3 linked regions of the Oryctolagus cuniculus genome follow. The protein of the gene in region 1 interacts with the protein of each later gene in a pairwise test. Links are inferred from orthologs where the notes say so. Each region holds a gene or a part of one and is shown in the gene's direction. Other genes may lie near its edges.

Evidence for each region. The genes of interacting proteins can lie anywhere in the genome.
Region 2: the proteins of THAP7 (region 1) and MTUS2 interact in binary tests that used the Homo sapiens proteins (3 or more experiments, as listed by UniProt). The two-hybrid records come from large-scale screens. The link is inferred for Oryctolagus cuniculus from reciprocal best matches to the Homo sapiens genes THAP7 and MTUS2.
Region 3: the proteins of THAP7 (region 1) and LURAP1 interact in a two-hybrid assay, tested with the Homo sapiens proteins (2 studies listed by BioGRID and IntAct). The two-hybrid records come from large-scale screens. The link is inferred for Oryctolagus cuniculus from reciprocal best matches to the Homo sapiens genes THAP7 and LURAP1.

What each region holds. Positions count from the first base shown.
Region 1 is NC_091452.1:29,749,508-29,755,285, reverse strand, and holds THAP7 (THAP domain-containing protein 7), read left to right. Parts: upstream 1-2,335; 5' UTR 2,336-2,666; intron 2,667-2,840; coding exon 2,841-2,920; intron 2,921-3,304; coding exon 3,305-3,460; intron 3,461-3,778; coding exon 3,779-3,919; intron 3,920-4,006; coding exon 4,007-4,541; 3' UTR 4,542-4,588; downstream 4,589-5,778. Other genes in the region: tubulin alpha-3 chain, read left to right, coding at 1-191; tubulin alpha chain, read left to right, coding at 366-518, 1,753-2,049; LZTR1 (leucine-zipper-like transcriptional regulator 1), read right to left, coding at 5,572-5,688. UniProt on the Homo sapiens protein: Chromatin-associated, histone tail-binding protein that represses transcription via recruitment of HDAC3 and nuclear hormone receptor corepressors.
Region 2 is NC_091440.1:85,728,401-85,734,243, reverse strand, and holds the start of MTUS2 (microtubule-associated tumor suppressor candidate 2), read left to right. Parts: upstream 1-2,062; 5' UTR 2,063-2,163; intron 2,164-2,287; exon of another isoform or gene 2,288-2,443; intron 2,444-3,021; exon of another isoform or gene 3,022-3,159; intron 3,160-5,843. UniProt on the Homo sapiens protein: Binds microtubules. Together with MAPRE1 may target the microtubule depolymerase KIF2C to the plus-end of microtubules. May regulate the dynamics of microtubules at their growing distal tip.
Region 3 is NC_091438.1:126,551,019-126,556,952, reverse strand, and holds the start of LURAP1 (leucine rich adaptor protein 1), read left to right. Parts: upstream 1-2,153; 5' UTR 2,154-2,347; coding exon 2,348-2,545; intron 2,546-5,934. UniProt on the Homo sapiens protein: Acts as an activator of the canonical NF-kappa-B pathway and drive the production of pro-inflammatory cytokines. Promotes the antigen (Ag)-presenting and priming function of dendritic cells via the canonical NF-kappa-B pathway.

The sequences.
Region 1 (5,778 bases):
CAGTGGTGGAGCCGTACAACTCCATCCTGACCACCCACACGACCCTGGAACATTCCGACTGTGCCTTCATGGTGGACAATGAAGCCATCTATGACATCTGTCGGCGCAACCTGGACATCGAGCGTCCCACGTACACCAACCTCAACCGCCTAATTGGGCAGATCGTGTCGTCCATCACGGCCTCCCTGTAATTCGACGGGGCCCTGAACGTGGACTTGACGGAGTTCCAGACCAACCTGGTGCCGTACCCCCGCATCCACTTCCCGCTGGCCACCTACGCCCCGGTCATCTCGGCGGAGAAGGCCTACCACGAGCAGCTGTCCGTGGCCGAGATCACCAACGCCTGCTTCGAGCCGGCCAATCAGATGGTGAAGTGCGACCCTCGCCACGGCAAGTACATGGCCTGCTGCATGCTGTACAGGGGCGACGTGGTCCCGAAGGACGTCAACGCGGCCATCGCCACCATCAAGACCAAGCGCACCATCCAGTTTGTGGACTGGTGCCCCACCGGCTTTAAGGTAGGCCTGGTGCCGGGAGGTGTCACCCCGTCAGTGGGCAGCAGACCTCTGGGAGAATGCTGTCCCCACGCCCACACCCCATGGGGAGACTGCAATGACAACCAGTTTAGAAATTAATTCAGTAAATGTCTAATAGAAAGCTAGTCTCTGAGGTGTACTGTGATTAGCAGGCTGCGTGCCCTGACACACCTGGTTTGCATCTTCATGCCCTTTGGTTTTTAACCTTGTCCCCAGTGATTTTCCCCATAGACAAAGCTGTGGATTCCACATTTGTAAGCTCTGATGAGTTCCAGTGTATTGGGGGAGCTTCGAGTTCCAGAATCATTCCGATGGAAAATGACATGAGAAACCCAGAGCAGTGTGTCTGCCTTTTCCCACGTGGAGGGCTGTGCTTCCTCTGATCACACACCACTTGTTAGACGCTCTCAGCCCCCTTCATGACAGCTTGACACAGATGACCTATTTTTTTCTTTCAAGATATGTTTTATGTATTTGAAAGGCAGAGTTGCAGAGAGGCAGAGGCAGAGAGAGAGAGGTCTTCCATCTGCTGGTTCACTCCCCAAATGGCCACAACTGCCAGAGGTGGGCTCTTCCAGAGCCAGGAGCTTCCTCCAGGTCTCCCACATGGGTGCAGGGGCCCCAGGACTTGGGCCATCTGCTGCTTTCCCAGGCACATTAGCAGGAATCTGGATTAGAAGTGGAGCATGGGCTGGCGCTGTGGCGTAGCAGCTAAAGCAGCTGCCTGTAGTGCCAGCGTCTCATATGGGGACCAGTTCAAGTCCCAGCTGCTCCACTTCTGATCCAGCTCTCCGCTGTGGTCTGGGAAAGCAGTGGACGATGCCCCAAGCCCTTGGGCCCCTGCACCCACGTGGGAGAACCGGAAGAAGCTCCTGGCTTCGGGTCAGCACAGCTCCAGCCATTGCAGCCATCTGGGGAGTGAACAAGCGGATGGACGATCTCTCCCTCTCCCTTTCTGTAACTCTGACTTTCAAATAAATAAATAAATCTTTAAAAACAAAAACAAGTGGAGCATCCGGGACTCGAACTAGCGCCCATGATGGGATGCTGGCATCGGGGGGCAGTGGCTTACGCTAAGCCACAATGCCCCCCCCCCCAGCAGAGTCTTAATTGCTATGCCAAGGGCCTGTTCCCAGGGCGCCGTTTTCAACTGGCACACAGTGCCTGTCTTTAGAAGTAAGCCGCCCTTTCTGACTGCTGTGTCCTCCTCCGGCAGGTGGGCATCAACTACCAGCCCCCCACCGTGGTGCCCGGGGGCGACCTGGCCAAGGTGCAGCGGGCCGTGTGCATGCTGAGCAACACCACGGCCATCGCCGAGGCCTGGGCCCGCCTGGACCACAAGTTCGACCTCATGTACGCCAAGCGGGCCTTCGTGCACTGGTACGTGGGCGAAGGCATGGAGGAAGGGGAGTTCTCCGAGGCCCGCGAGGACCTGGCCGCCCTGGAGAAGGATTACGAGGAGGTGGGCGTGGACTCCGTGGAGGCGGAGGCCGAGGAGGGGGAGGAGTACTGAGAACCTGCGGTCCCCTCCCAGTGGGTCACTGCAGGACCTATTTTACCTATTAAAGTTTGGGCACTGAGCCATCGCCTGTCGTGTGCTGTACTCTGACACGCGTGCGTCCAAGCGGGTCTCGGGCAGAGCCGTGCGACTCTACGTGAGCTTCTCCAGCGTGTGTGCCAGTTCGGCCCCTGCGCCCCTCCCGGGACTAGCAACTAGGGGACGGCTTCCTCCGGACTCGGAGCCCGCGCCTCCAGGCCCCGCCCCGTGGGTGGAGCCACGGAGCCCCGCCCCGCGCGTCTCGAGAGGCCCCCGCCCGCCTCCCCTCAAGTCCCCGTCTCCGGCGCCGCCAGGAGCTCAGCACGGTTCTGCGGGCCGGGGGCGGGACCCTCGACTCAGTCAGGGGCCTTCCGGGAGGAGGCCGGGGCCCGTGCCGCAGCCGCTCCATCCGTAACGGGAATTTCAACGGGAGCCCACAGCACTAGCACGGCGCAGGCGCGACGGCCGCCCACGCCCCGCGGCGCGCCCGCTACGCCCTCTTCCGGCGCCGCCCGCTCCCGAGTGTCTACGGTCTCGACTTCCGCCGCGCGCCACCCCTCGCGAGACTTCGGCGGCGCAGCCATGGCGAGACCGTGAGTGCCGCCGACCGGAGTCAAGAACACGGGCTGTGACTGGGTTTGGGCGCGATCGGGCCGGGAGCGGGAGCCCCGACGGGCCAGGGCACCCTGTGCGGGCGGCGGCTGAGAGCGCGAGGCCAGCCGGGGCCCCGACGGCCGCCCGCGACCTAGCTTCCACCTCTCCCCCAGATGCCGCGTCACTGCTCCGCCGCCGGCTGCTGCACACGGGACACGCGCGAGACGCGCAACCGCGGCATCTCCTTCCACAGGTCAGCGCGCGTGCGTGGTGGCGCGCGCGGGGGCTCCCTTGCGCAGGCGCCTGTTGGGGCCGCGCCTTGCGCATGCGCGCCGCACCTTTTTCGGGCCCTGGCGGGATTTGAACTTGCGGGTGGCGCGTGCCAGTCGAAGGCGGTGGGGTGGGGGGTTCCGGAGGGATTGAGGCCAGTGCAGGAGAGATGGACGCGGTGGGGTCCAGCAGGCTTGGGCTCGTTGCTTTCTGGCCCTTCCCTGAGCTCGGCGTCTCGAGGCCTCAGTCGTCGCCATGCCCGGGCGGGCTGGCGCGTACCCCGCCGGTCTCGGCCGCTGCGGGTGCGGCTGTGGGGCCTGCTCTAGCTGCCGGGCACTCATGCACGCACTGGTTGACGGCTTCGCAGACTCCCCAAGAAGGACAACCCGAGGCGAGGCCTGTGGCTGGCCAACTGCCAGCGGCTGGACCCCAGCGGCCAGGGCCTGTGGGACCCGGCATCCGAGTACATCTACTTCTGCTCCAAACACTTCGAAGAGAACTGCTTTGAGCTGGTGGGAATCAGGTGGGCCCCCTGGCCAGGCCCGCGCAGGGCGGGGCGGCCGTGTGTTCCCGAGAGGGTCCCTCCAGCAGCCCGCGTGAGGACCGGCAGGTCCAGGGCCGGAAAGTCCCTCTACCGCCGTGAGCGCTGCCCGGCCCTCCCAGCAGGAATCCCTTGGGGCTGCTGATGGAGTGTTGCAGACACCTCAGTTTCGGGGAGCCGTGCAGGGAAGCCAGGGAAGCGTGGTGTCGCCTTCCACCACCCTCAGCGCCGGGACCGGGCGGTGGGGGGTTGAGGGGCAGCACCCGCTCTCCCGCTCACCAGGCCGCTTCCTCCCCACAGTGGGTACCACAGGCTGAAGGAGGGCGCGGTCCCCACCATCTTTGAGTCTTTTTCCAAGCTGCGCCGCAGCGCCAAGAGCAAAGGGCACGGTTACCCGCCCGGCCCCCCGGACATCGGCAGGCTGCGGCGATGCCGGAAGCGGTAGGTGCGGCGGGCGGAGGCCCGGCAGCCCCGCGGAGCGCACCCCCAGCCCGGCCCGGCTGGCAGGCTGTCTCTCTGTCCCCGCAGCTGCGCCGAAGGCCGGGGGCCCACCACCCCGTTCTCGCCACCCCCGCCGGCCGACGTCAGCTGCTTCCCTGCGGAAGAGGCCTCGGCGCCCGCCACGCTGCCAGCCTCGCCCGCTGGGAGGCTGGAGCCCGGCCTGAGCAGCCCCTTCTCAGACCTGCTGGGCCCGCTGGGCGCCCAGGCGGACGAGGCGGGCTGTAGCGCGCAGCCCTCGCCGCTGGAGCCGCGGCCCGTGTCCCCGTCCGCCTACATGCTGCGCCTGCCGCCCCCTGCCGGCGCCTACATCCAGAACGAGCACAGCTACCAGGTGGGCAGCGCCCTGCTCTGGAAGCGCCGGGCCGAGGCGGCCTTGGACGCCCTGGACAAGGCCCAGCGGCAGCTGCAAGCCTGCAAGCGGCGGGAGCAGCGGCTGCGGCTGCGGCTGACCAAGCTGCAGCAGGAGCGGGCCCGGGAGAAGCGGGCTCAGGCCGACGCCCGGCAGACGCTGAAGGAGCATGTGCAGGACTTCGCCATGCAGCTGGGCAGCAGCATGGCCTGAGGGGGCTGGGGGCGCGGCCGGACGCCGGAATAAAGTGGATTCCAGGAGGTGCTGTTGCCTAGCTCGGTTGGGGCTCAAACACTGGGCCTGCCAGGGGTTCACCCTGGGACCGTGGGTGGGAGCGTCAGAGTGCAGGGCTCACCCATCCCACCCGTCCCACCTGCCACCCAGCTGAAAGCTTTCTGGCCTCAGACACAGTGTTCCAGCTCCAGACGGTCACTTCATTTATTCACAGTCGCGGGGTGGGGGGCAGTGAGGAGCGGGCCTTGCGGATCACCGGATCGTCGTGGGGGTTTGCAAAGCCAGCCCTGGGGAAGGGGGTTGTGATGAGCCTGCCAGGAGTGTGGTGAGACCCGCAGCCTGTGGAAACCGTGGGGCAGCCGGCTCTGTGGCCCGCTAAGGGGGACTCCAAGCTGCCTGCTGCTTCCTCCCCAGCACCCAGCGCCTCTGCAGGCTCCTTCCTGGCTTCATGGCTGCTTCCCTCCCTGCCTGCCAGGGCCTCCTGTCCACCTGCCCACAACCCCCTGGGCGCTATGCAGAGCACAGGCAGAAGAGGAAAGCCCTGCATCTCCCCACGGGGTCCTGCCAGCCAGGAGAGGCACAGTGGTGCCCCCCACTGCCGGACACACTCGCTGGCCTGGCCCCATCACGGCTCGAGTCACACCACACCTGCCCCTCACTGGTCTCTGCTCACAAGCTGCTCCAAGGGTGGCCAGGCCGACTCTAGGGCCACAGTCCTCTCCCCAAAACAGGCAATGGGCCCCAGTGCCTGGATCCACAACACCCAGGCCACAGGGGCAAGGCCCAGCCTCCCAAAGCCACATTGTCTGGTCATCTGTCACCTCCTGTGGCAACCCCCCCAGGGGAGGGTGCCAGGTAGGGAGGGGTCTGCCATACCATCTCCCTGGGACACCTGTTCTTGGAGGGGCGGGGCTCCCTGGCCCAGCAGGTGCAGCTGTCACAAGCACACTGCATGGCCGGCGCAGGCAGGGACAGTCATTGTCCGCACAGGGCAGGGTGCTACAAGCCCTCAGATGTCAGCGCCCAGCTCCGCACACTGCTTGTCGGAGATGTGGGAGGCCAGCGAGTCGATTATGTCCAGGAGCAGCTGCTGGCTCAGCGACCGCAGCGTGGGCAGCTTGGAGACCTGCGGAGGTGGCCGGGAGACAGACACGGGCTCGCAGGCCGGCAGGGGTGGGGGTGGGGCCTCCGAGGACAGGGCGAGGGAGGGCTGGGG
Region 2 (5,843 bases), on another chromosome or scaffold:
CTTTCTATAGCTTGCTGAAGCTTGAGGACACTATGCTATGTGAAATAAGCCAGACACAAATACTGCATGGTTCTACTTTTATGAAGCACTTGGAGTAGTCAAATTCATATATATATATATATATATACACATATATATATGTAGAGAAAAATTAAGAAATTCAACATCATAGTAAGGGAGTTTAATACTCTCAGCAATTGATAGCTCATGGCGATAACATAGTTGAAAGAATACAGAATATTTGCACCACAAAATTAAAGTTTGACCTATAAATCTCAATATAGAACCCTGCACCTAAAAATTAGATGATATACATTGTTCTCAAGAACATGCAGTATTCGTGAGTACAAAGAATCTGTATCAGACCATGTTTTCTGGATGAAATCAAATAAGAAAGCAAAAGCTAGATGACATCTAACACCTCCTGTATTTAGAAATTTACAATCCAGTCCTAAATTACTCATGGATCAAAACAATGATCGATCGTAACAGAAATTAAGACTTTACTACTTCATGATATTGAAAATATCACAGATGAAAATGCATGAGAAAAGGGACCAGTCTTGTGGCCTAGTGGGTTAAGGCATATCCTATGATGAAAACTGAACTAAAGGCAAGTTTATTTAGGTGCAAATTTTTTTCAAAATCCATGCACACTTTTGTCAAGGTATGCATTTTCCATGAACTTTTTTTTTCAAAAAAGGATTTATTTATTTGAAAAGCAGAATTACAGAGAGGCAGAGGAGAGAGAGAGAGAGAGAGAGAGAGAGAGAGAGAGAGAGAGATGTCTTCCATCTTCTGGTTCACTCCCCAAATGGCCACAATGGCCAGAGCTGAGCTTATCCAAAGCCAGGATCCAGGAGGTTCTTCCAGGTCTCCCATGCGGGTACAGGGGCCCAAGGACTTAGGCCATCTTCCACTGCTTTACCAGGCCATAGCAGAGAGCTGGACTGGAAGAGGAGCAGCCGTGTCTCAAACTGGCACTCATATGGGATACCAGCACCGCAGGCGGCAGCTTTACTTGCTATGCCATGGGGCTGGTCCCCTCCATGAGCTTTTTAAGGACTACTGATACAGCCTCCTGTACTATTCCATCCTTCAGATGTGCTAATTGTAAATAAACTCAAACTGTATTCCCCATGTAGTAATTAGGAAGTGATGCATCTGGGGTGTTTATTAACTTTATATATATATATATACACACACACACACACACACACACATAACTGTAGGCTTCTATAATTTCATCTTGAATGATGCTGGGGAGGGGGTGGCAGGAGGGGAGTGGGGAAGGCTTTAAGAGGAATGAAATTACAGTTTCAATTTGGATTGGATTGCATTTTTTTAATACCAGCGAATCAGACTGTTTATTAACACCCAAAAGTGCCAGGAAAAGCTATCAAATCTGCCCTAGATTCTTCCCGAGAAGGGAGATCAGATAGAACCGTTTAAAAAAAGGCAGTGGTGTGGAGAAAAAAAAAGGTGCTATTTCATGGTTTCCCTTGACCAAGCAGTACAGTTTGTTAAAAAAAGATTGAACTAGTATAAAATATTGCTTCAAGTTTTAAAATAGCCACTCCCTAAAAGACTGTAAACCAAGCTAAACGGAGCCAGGACCAACACCATCCGTTCATCTTCATCATGGCAAATCCTCATCAACTTGGTCTCACTTCCTCCCCTGGGGGCGTCTCCCCGCGCCCCCTCCCCGCTGGCCAGAGCTGGAGCCGGACGCCCTCGCGCGCGCGTAAGCGCGGGGCGGCCGGCAGAGGGCGCTGCGGCTCCCCGGCGGCGGGGCTGCGGCCGGCGGCTCCGGGCGAGGGGCGCGGGCCGGGAGGAGGCGCCCGGGGCTCGGCGTGTGCGTCTCCGGGCGGCCGGGAGGGGGTGCGCGCCTCTGCCGCCCCGTGCCACCCCTCCAGCGCGGGCCTCTCGCGCCCGGCCGCTGTCACCGCGCCGGCACCTCGCGGGCGAGGCTCGCGGGCTGCGCTGCGCGCTCGGAGGCCCCGCAGCTTCTCTTTGTCCGGGCGAGGCGGCCGGAGGAGCGGCCGCTGAGGCGGGGAGCGCCCGGGCGTCGTGCGGGCGGCGCGGGGTTCCTCAGCCGCCCGCCGCCCGCCGCCCGGCTGCGCTCGGAGCGGGAGCGGCGGCCCGGGTGGTGCCTGCGGCGAGGTGAGTGCGGGGACGCGGAGCCGGCGGGGGCGGGCGGGGGCGGCTGGGGCGCCTGCGGGTGCGGGGGCGCCGCCTCTCCCGGCAAGTTTGCCGGCTGTCTTTTGCGGCAATCCGTGGCCGGTCGGCGGAGTCCAGACCTGTCAGTAAATCGGAAACTCCAGCTGGGGCGAGGGAGAAAGAGGAGAAGGACGCGTGTTGGAAACGGGGTGGTCGGGATGGCAGTGTCCCGGAGGGACAGCGGTGGGCTTTCGGACTTGGTTCCGGGCTCTATCCGACCCAGGTGAGCGATTCCCGCCCTGCGCAGGGCGCGGCGGGTGGCTCCGGGCGGCTGGGAGACAGGTGCGCGCGCGGAGCCGGCTGCGGGCTGCGCCACTCTCTCGGCCTCTCCAGCGTCCCAGCGCCGTTCCCTCCCGCCCGCCTGCCTCACCTGCTCCGCGGCTCCCTCGGCATCTCCGCCAGGTGCAGCGCGCTGCGTTTCGGAGGCGCTGCTGGGGTAGTTGGAGCGATTCCTCCCCATCCACCCTCGGCTTTGGATAATTTGGTCTGTGCCTTCGTCTTAATTTAGTACGGATGTGTTATTTCCTTCCAGCGTTCTAATGGGGGAGCAGGGACGCGGCTCGCTACGTCTCCCCCCACCCCCCTGTCTCATTCTGAGCAGAAGGAATCGCAGGCATACAAGTGATGTTACTACCGTTCTATTTTAAATACAAACACGGGAAGAACTCTTGCAGCATACCAGAGGCGCCTGTACTCTGTTATATAAGTGCTTTAAAAAAAATCGCCTCGTATTGGTGAAGTTCCGAGTGGATAGCAAAGCAGCTAAGAGAGTGTGGAGGTGGCAGAACCTGCTCATCTCTGCTGTCGACCAAAACTTTGCTTCACGGTAAACGCTGGGCTTTTCAGATGCCACGCAGGAAAAAAACCTCGGAAACCTCACTGGGTAGAATTGCAAAGCGTTTAAGAAAACAGATTTTGTCAGCTCTGTGCTGGACATCGGTGAGCACTGTGTGACCACTTACGGGGGTCTGGGGAGGTCACAGGTATCCGTTAACGACTTTCACTTATTGAATGGTTTTATTTTGATCTCTGATGGAAACCTAGTAATTGTTGAGTTGCCAGTTATCAAAGGCGTCCCAGACACGAAACAGAACCCCCACCCACGCGCATTCATGGTTATTTATTTATTTTTGGGTGAGGAGAAGAGGAAAGAAGAAAAGGATCAGAGGTACTGTGTTAAGGGCCCCTTAGTCCGCACCCCCCCACACCTGCTGTAATTGGTTTGGGGAGATACCCTGGCGTCTGCATTGTTAGTGGTGATTCTGATCCCTAGCCAGAGATGGGACCCATTGGAAAGCATTCTGTGAGTTTGCTGCTTTGTAACTTAAGCCATTCTCTGGTGGTTTAATAAGGTAGGTCAAAAATACATGGGGTTAGAAATACCGGAAGAGAATGACAATAGGAGATTTTTCCAGGAATTCCAGTCCCTGCTGAGACTGGTTGATATCTATCAGGGACCCATCGCTCTGCCTCCTGTGCTGAGCTGGGTGCTAAGTGGTACCCTGGCTCGTGCAGAGGTGGAAGTGAAAGTTGAGTTACTACACAAATTATGCTTTTATGTTTATGTGAGAAAGGAACCACATCTTATTAAGGGTTATTCTCATTCAGGCTTCTCCCCCTCAAATCAAAAACTTATGTTGATATAGATGAGTAAATTCCATGCAGAAAGCTTTTTATGATATTTCAGGTCTGAAATCAACCTGACTGCTGAATCAGTGCTTCTTTCTGCCTTATGTAACTCCCAGGATCCACATCGGAGAACAGCTCTCGTGGGTGGTTTATGAAGGCTTATATAAGAGCTACGACTGTGCTTTTGGTTCTCTCTTAAACTCCCTGTTTGGGCTGTTACATAATTGACTGGGAACTAGGCTGGTAAAGCCCGAATCGGGGGAGGATGCACAAGCCCCGTTCTGCACATGCACTTTTATAATGAATTGCTGCTGCTGAATTAGAGGGAACAGCAGGGATGGTGGTTTGTGAAAGGGAGATAAGAATAGCATCTCGGGGATTGATGTAATAGAGGACTGTTATGTTGAGCGATTTTCTGGAGGTTTGCATGCTGTGGTGGAACCTCTGGTCTGTTGTCTCTCTCAGCAGAGGCGGATTGCCGGGGAGGCTGATGACTCTTAAGCTCCAGGCTTCTTCAGAGCCCCTGGGAGGGGCCCTAGCACTGTGTTTGCAGGGTCACACCTGAGTTTGCAATTGTAAGTTTGGGTTGTTTTTAAACAGATAGGATGCTCTTTCTACCCTTACACACACACACCACCACTATATAAACCCTAAGATTGCACAAACCTGACTCTGCCTCCAGCTGCAGGTTGTGTCCAACTGTTAGCTCATAAAAGTGCCTATTCTTATTTTCCTTCTTGTCATCCTATGCAATGATACAATAAAAGCAATCTGGCCAGTATTGTAGCTGACTTGCTGCAAAAATGCACATTGCTAGAACATAGGTCTATGGGGAGCTATTGAAATCAGGTGGTTGGGGCCGGCTCCGTGGCTCACTTTGTTAATCCTCTGCCTGTGGCGCTGGCATCCCATATGGGCACCCGGTTGCTCCTCTTCCAGTCCAACTCTCTGCTGTGGCCTGGGAGGGCAGTGGAGAATGGCCCAAGTTCTTGGGCCCCTGCACCCGCATGGGAGACCAGGAAGAAGCACCTGGCTCCTGGCTTCGGATTGGCATAGCTCTGACTGTAGTGGCCATTTGGGGGGTGAACCAATGAAAGGAAGACCTTTCTCTTTGTCTCTCTCTCTCTCTCTCTCTCTCTCTCTCTGTCTAATTCTGTCTGTCAAATAAAAAAAAAAAAAGAAATTAGGTGGTTACCTAGAGAGCCAGCTCTTAGCCTCGCCATGTCACAGGAGGCAGACTTTTCTGGATCTGAGTGTGGCCAGAGGTAGAGAAAAGCAGATATGGCCGCTAGACGGGAGCAGAAGGGTTACAGCTCTTCCTTGTCCCAGAAGCAGCCTGCTAAGGGGAAAAGCAATGAGAAATCAACTACTAAATTAATAAAAAGTTAATTGGAACAGATAGCATCAGCTCTATAGGAGATAGTCTTGTGAGCTCTGTGGGGTCAGACTCTGGTAGGAAATTTAAACAGCATGCAGACAAACGAAGATCTGGAAAATCTCTTGCATTTGTTTTCAATGCAGGTCAAGGAGGAATAAAGAATTTTGGCTTGACCCCATGGGCAATTTTTAAATTATTTAAAGTTGATTTATTTGAGAGAAAGAGAGAGCCCCTCATCTACTGATGCACTCCCCAAAGGCCCACAATGGCCAGGACTGGGCCAGGTCAAAGCTGGGGACTGGGAGGTCCATCCAGGTCTCCCACAAGAGTGGCAGGAACCCAACCACTTGAGCCATCAGCTGCTGCTTCCCAGGGTTGCACATGAGCAGGAAACCAGAATCAGGAATGAACTTAGGACTCAAACCCAGGCATCCTAACCAGGATCTTAACTGCTATGCCAAATGCTCACCCCAGCTACCTCTGTTAAGCAGTTTTTATGAGCACATAGGGGGCTTGTTGAAAAGAGTTGAGGAATTTCCCTGAGATAATTTCTAGTTCTTGTTTCCTTCAGATCATAGTGTGTTCCTTCCCACTAGCCCATGTACTGCATCCAACC
Region 3 (5,934 bases), on another chromosome or scaffold:
CTGCCACCCACATGAGAGACCAGAATGTTCCAGACTCCTGGCTTCAGCCTGGCCCAGCCCCAGCTGTTGTAGCCATTTGGAGGGTGAACCAGCAGATGATATTTTTGCGCTAACTCTGTCTTTTTTTTTTTTTTTTTTTTTTGACAGGCAGAGTGCACAGTGAGAGAGAGAGACAGAGAGAAAGGTCTTCCTTTGCCGTTGGTTCACCCTCCAATGGCTGCCATGGCAGGCGTGCTGCGGCCGGCGCACCGCGCTGATCCGAAGGCAGGAGCCAGGTGCTTCTCCTGGTCTCCCATGGGGTGCAGGGCCCAAGCACTTGGGCCATCCTCCACTGCACTCCCTGGCCACAGCAGAGAGCTGGCCTGGAAGAGGGGCAACCGGGACAGAATCCAGGCAGTAGAACCCGGTGTGCCAGCGCTGCAAGGCGGAGGATTAGCCTAGTGAGCCGCGGCGCCAGCCTCTAACTCTGTCTTTCTAATAAATACATAAATTTTAAAAAATAGTCTGCTCCCAAGGCTGGTACTTGGTAGGCACTCCATCGTATTTGTTAAAATCATTCATTTGATTTTTGAACAAAAGTTTATTGAAAAATACTATAAATAAGTTAATGTAATCCTATCAATCATACCTTCTAAACAGTCTTCCATTGTGGTCTAATTCTCTAACCTCACAAGGCCCTGACTCAAGCCATTTTCAGTCTTTTGTCTTCCAACTAGTCTCCTTGATTTTTATCCTAATCCTTTCTCCCTGCTAAATGCAAAGTAAATTTTCAGAAAGGCAAATGTTTTGCCAGTCTCTGATTTAAAACCTTCCCATTGGGACCGGTGTTCTGATGCAGTGTGCATTCCATAATGGAGTGGATGGAAGATCTCTGCCTCTCCTCCTCTCTCTATTGCTCTTTCAAATAGATAGATGCTTAAAAAAGAGAGAGAAAAGAAAACCCCTTTCTCAGAAAAAAAAAAAAAAACTTTAAGAAAAACTTAAATTACAAAGGATACAATCATATGAACTAGAAATAATGATGGAAATATGTAGTCATGGAGAAAGGTATCTGTAGTTATCTCATTAGGAAGCCAATAGACAATGTTTAAAAGTAGGAAGTGGTGGGGCCATGTGCTGCGGCATAGCAGGTAAAGCCATGGTCTGCAGTGCCGGCATCCCATATGGGCGCCGATTCAAGTCCCAGCTGCTCCACTTCCAATCCAGCTCTCTGCTATGGCCTGGGAGAAAGCAGTAGAAGATAGCCCAAGTCTTTGGACCCCTGCATCTATGTGGAAGACCCAGAAGAAGCTCTTGGCTCTTAGCTACGGATCGTCCCCAGCCCCAGCTGTTGTGGCCAACTGGGGAGTGAACCAGCAGATGGAAGATTTCTCTCTGTGTGTAACTTTGTATTTCAAATAAATAAATAAATCTTTTTTTAAAATTAGGAAGTGGTGCTGTTAGCCTATTTGTTGTTCAGAGTGTACACACCAGGAAAAAAAACTAAAAGTGGTTGCCTCTAGGGAGTGGGGCCTGGAGGTGTGAAAGGGAAGGGCCAGGGCACCTGTCTTCATGGTACAGCCTTCTGTAACCATGGACTGGAGTTGCTTGGGTTAAAAGCCAAAACCAAACCAAATTTTTCATGGCTCCTCCTTGGCTCTGGAAACATCTTCTATAGCCCTGTTGCTCAAAGTGTGGTCCCCAGACCCACAAGCAGCATGACCATTCCCTGGGAGCCTGTTGGAAAAGCAGAATCTCAGCCCCACCTGCAGATTTACAGGATCAGAACCTGCATTTTAAGATTGGCAAGTGATGCACAGGCCCCTGGGGCTTCAGTACTGGTTGCTCCTCACTGGCCATCCACTCCTTTCGTCTGAATTCCAGCTCCCGGGGAGTGTGTGCAGGTGGCTAGCTTGATTTTAGCCGCCCGCCCGTTTTAGTTCCAGCTGGCCTACTCCAGGAAACCTTCCAAACCTTCTGTGCAGCTCTCTGAGACTTCTGTTCCTGAAATTCGCACATCTCTAAGGCTTCGCTTTCATTCAGCAAACGTTTATTTTGGGTGCTCGTTGCGTGCCTAGCTGGAGTCAGCGCCGGGGTAGGGAGAAGGCGCTGAGCTCTCCGGGTGCACGTAGGATCGCCCAGCCTCACGGCACGCAGGGCCAGGGGTTGTGTGCGCAGCACTCGGAGACACAGCCTCACACGGCTCTGCGCGGCTTTTCTGAGAGTTACGGCGCCCTCCTCCCGCCCCCGCGCAGTGCCGGGCGGGGACCCACCGGTTCCGCTCCGCGTTAGCAGGGGCGACAGAAAGACCCCCGGGAGCAGGACCCCAGCGTCCGGCCGCCCATCCCCGCTCGCGCTTGGGGCCCGCATGGAGGGGCCGGTGGAGTCCCAGACTCCTGACCTGCGAGACGTGGAGGGCAAGGTGGGCAGGAAGACCCCTGAAGGGCTGCTCCGTGGGCTGCGAGGCGAGTGGGAGCCGGAACCCTCTGGCGCCCTGCTGCTCCCGGGGTCGCCCGGAACGGGCCACGGCCTGGGGGACAGGATCATGGCGCTGAGGATGGAGCTGGTGAGTGTGCGGGATGAGTCCCCCCGCGTAGGGCTGGAAGGGACGGACTCACGCCCCCGGAGGTGGTCTGGAGAGTCCCCACCTAACTCCTTGGGGTCCCTCCCAGATCTGTCGTAAAGCCCGGTCTGGAGGTGGGGTGACGTCCTTTTAATTGTCCCCCGAGGGTGAGTGCGCTGTGGATGCGTCCTGAGGACTAGGGCTGGGAGACGCAGGCTCTGGGAAGTTTTTCCTGCCGAGTAATTGGGGGGGGGGGGGGCTGGGAAGTTCAGAGAACCTATCGCAGCACGCTTCAGCGTCCTCCCGGTACGGGGCCACTCGTTCCCCCAGCCCCCATCCCAAGGCAGCCAGTCTTTCTCTTCCTGCAAACTGGGAATGGGCTTGGTTCCTGTGAGGAGGGGGGTGTTCTCGCTAGGATTCGGCACACAAGAGATCTGAAGGGCAGAGCCGCTGAAAGCGGACTGGAGCGCTGGAGACCCCGCCTCCGCGTTCCCTAGCCCCACTTGGTGTGGGCATTTGAAAGTTCCAAGACTCAGCAGAGACAGCAGCCGGCGCTTCGGTCCCCTCACCTGCGACTCAGCCTCCTCCCCCGCACCTTCTTGGCAAAGAGAGGCCACAGGGCAGCAGCCCTCCCCTATCCCAGTTGCTGCTGGTCTAGATTCTGAGCCAAAAGGGCAGCTGGGGCCCCCCACAGACTCCCCAGGGCCCTAGGTGGCTCCCCAGAGCCCTGGTTCCGGTGAAGGGGTGATTTACACCTGCCACGGCTTTGCAGCCAGTTCTGGAGAGCTGAGGAATTGCCCGCTGCTCCCTGGCCCCAGACCAGGAGCTGACTGTGAGTGTGTCAGCCAAGTCTTCCTGGAGCCCCACTTTGTGCCCAGTTCTGGGAGGAAGCAAAGGGAGGAGGTCAGAGAGGCTCCCGCTCAGGCCCCAAATTAGAGACTCTGAGGAGAGCTTGATGGGCGGAGCAGTCAAGGGAGGCTCCCTGGGGGTAGTTCTTGGATGCCAAGTGTGCACCTGGCCTTGAAGGTTGGAGGCAAGTGCCAAACCCAGAGCAGGGCTGTGACTGTATCCAGCTATGCTGGGGGGGGGGGGGGGACCTCACTGTGCAAACTTTAGCCCAAGGCCTAGAAAGAGACAACCTGGACTGCCCTGCTTTGCAAGGAACTTTGACTGTGTATGTGCCGGCATCGTGCCCAGCCCTTTATGTGATATTCTCTTGCAACCCTGTTAGGTAAGGAATACCTGCCTAACACAGGTAACACCAGGCACAGAGAGGTTAACTCACTGCCCAAGGTCATGAAAAAAGTGAAAAGCAGAGCCAGGATTTGAACCCAGGTCTGCTGACCACCACTTTGCATCTTTACAACTGAGACCTGTTCTGTGCTGGACACTTTACAATACGTTTTGTATCACTGGAATGAGAAAAGTGGTCATCATTTCCCCCACCTCGGATACACTTGCAGGTGCTGGTTCAGGAGCTTCCTGAACTCACAAGGAGCCTGGAGGCGCCACGCCTTGTCTTTCTGCCTCTCTCTTCTGCTTCGGTGGAGACCACCTGTTTATAAGCTGTAGGGGTACATTTCACTTCTGATTGTCTCTCTCTGTATTTTTGACCCAGCTGGCCTGGGGCATGAGGCTGGATGTAAAGGGTACAACTTAGGGAGCCTTCCTGAGCCAGGACAAGGAGAGGGGCCCTAGCATTCCCTCCACCCTCCTCAGGCTTGGAGTCCTCAGTCTCCGACCTAGAGGAGCAAGGGGTGGGGCAGGGGTTTCCCTGGGGCCACTGGAGGCAAGACTGGTGCAAGCCCTCTAAGAATTGCCCTGCAGTTGTCCTTCTTCCCTGGGGCTCCCATGCAGGGAGGGGCAGTCCTGCCCTTGTGGCCAAGGTCGGTCCTGCCTCTAGGGCTCTTCTTACCCTTCTTCTGCTGTAGAATGAGTGAATGAGTCAGACTCTGGAATGAGACCCTGGGTTTCGTGGGAATGGGAAACAATGCAACCTCCCCTCCTTAGTTCTCCCACCCAAAGAACTGTTGCTAGGGCAACAGCAGAGCCAACAGCGGAGCCGGTGTGAAGCAGCTATAGGCAGGAAGCGGGAAGGCATGGGTTCAAGTCTTGGCTGTGCTTCTGAATCACTGTGTGATCTTGAGCAGGCCCTGTCTCTCCTCGCCTCACTTTTTGTGCCTGTGGAACCTGCCTGCTGGGGCTGGGTCTTTTCCTGCAGGTTCCGTTTTGCCTGGGGCCGGAGGCTGCCCCCAGCAGGACCCCAGCATAGGCAGTCTATGTATTATCAAGGACAGGAGGAGGGAATCCGAATCCTCCTGGGAAGAGAATGGGGTTTGAGTAGCTTCTGAGGCTGTAGCTCTGCTCAGCTGTTTTTCCTCTACTCTGCTTCCAAAGAGAGAGTGTGAAATGAGTGCTGCTTTTTCTGGCCAGAAAGCCTCGCTTTCTTCCATTCTGGGGAGAGTGATGCTGTCACAGGCAGGGAATCCCATGACCAACCGTGGATTACAGAATCTGTTCCTCAGATTCCTTCTGCCCCAGCCCTCCCCGCCCTGCCCCTTCCCAGCCCTAGGGGCCACCTGAAGGGCCAAGAATAGCCTGGGCAGGACCTGCTGTCAGGACTTGGGAAGAAGGGAGCTAGCCAGACAGTGTCAGTGCAGAATGCTAAGTATTGCTGGAGCCCAAGGAGGGGCTCCTGGAAGCGACTGTGTGTGTTGAGAAAGATCACTTCCAATTGGTGGGGAGCATGTGCTTTTTTTTTTTTTTTAAAGATTTATTTATTTATTTGGAAGGCAAAGAGGCAGAGGCAGAAAGAGAGAGAGGTCTTCCGTCTGCTGGTTCACTCCTCAGATGGCTGCAATGGCTGGAGCTGTGCCTATCCGAAGCCAGGAGCCAAGAGCTTCTTCTGGGTCTCCCACGTGGGTGCAGGGGCCCAAGGACTTGGGCCATCTTCTACTGCTGTCCCAGGCCATAGCAGAGAGCTGGATCGGAAGTGGAGCAGCCGGGACTAGAACCAGCGTCCATATGGGATGCCAGCACTGTATACAGCAGCTTTACCTACTACACAACAACGCCAGCCCCGAGCATGTACTTTTTCTTCTGGTTGGTGTGCTTCTCTCCACCCTTTGTCTGGCTGAGTTCTACTTAAGCCTCAAGGTTCAGCTTCTGCCCTTTATCCGAGGGAACATTTCTTCACCTCCCCTGGTCAGGTTAAGGGCCTCTAGGTTAGACCCTCTGCACCATCATTTTCTCCAGCATTCGCTACACTGAATTTTAACGACTCGCTTCATTGCCTTACCTTTGTTTTTGCTTTTGTTTTATTTTTTAAAAAGATTTTTAAATTGATTTCTTTGAAAGAGTTAGAGATATCTTCCATCTGCTTGTTCACTCCC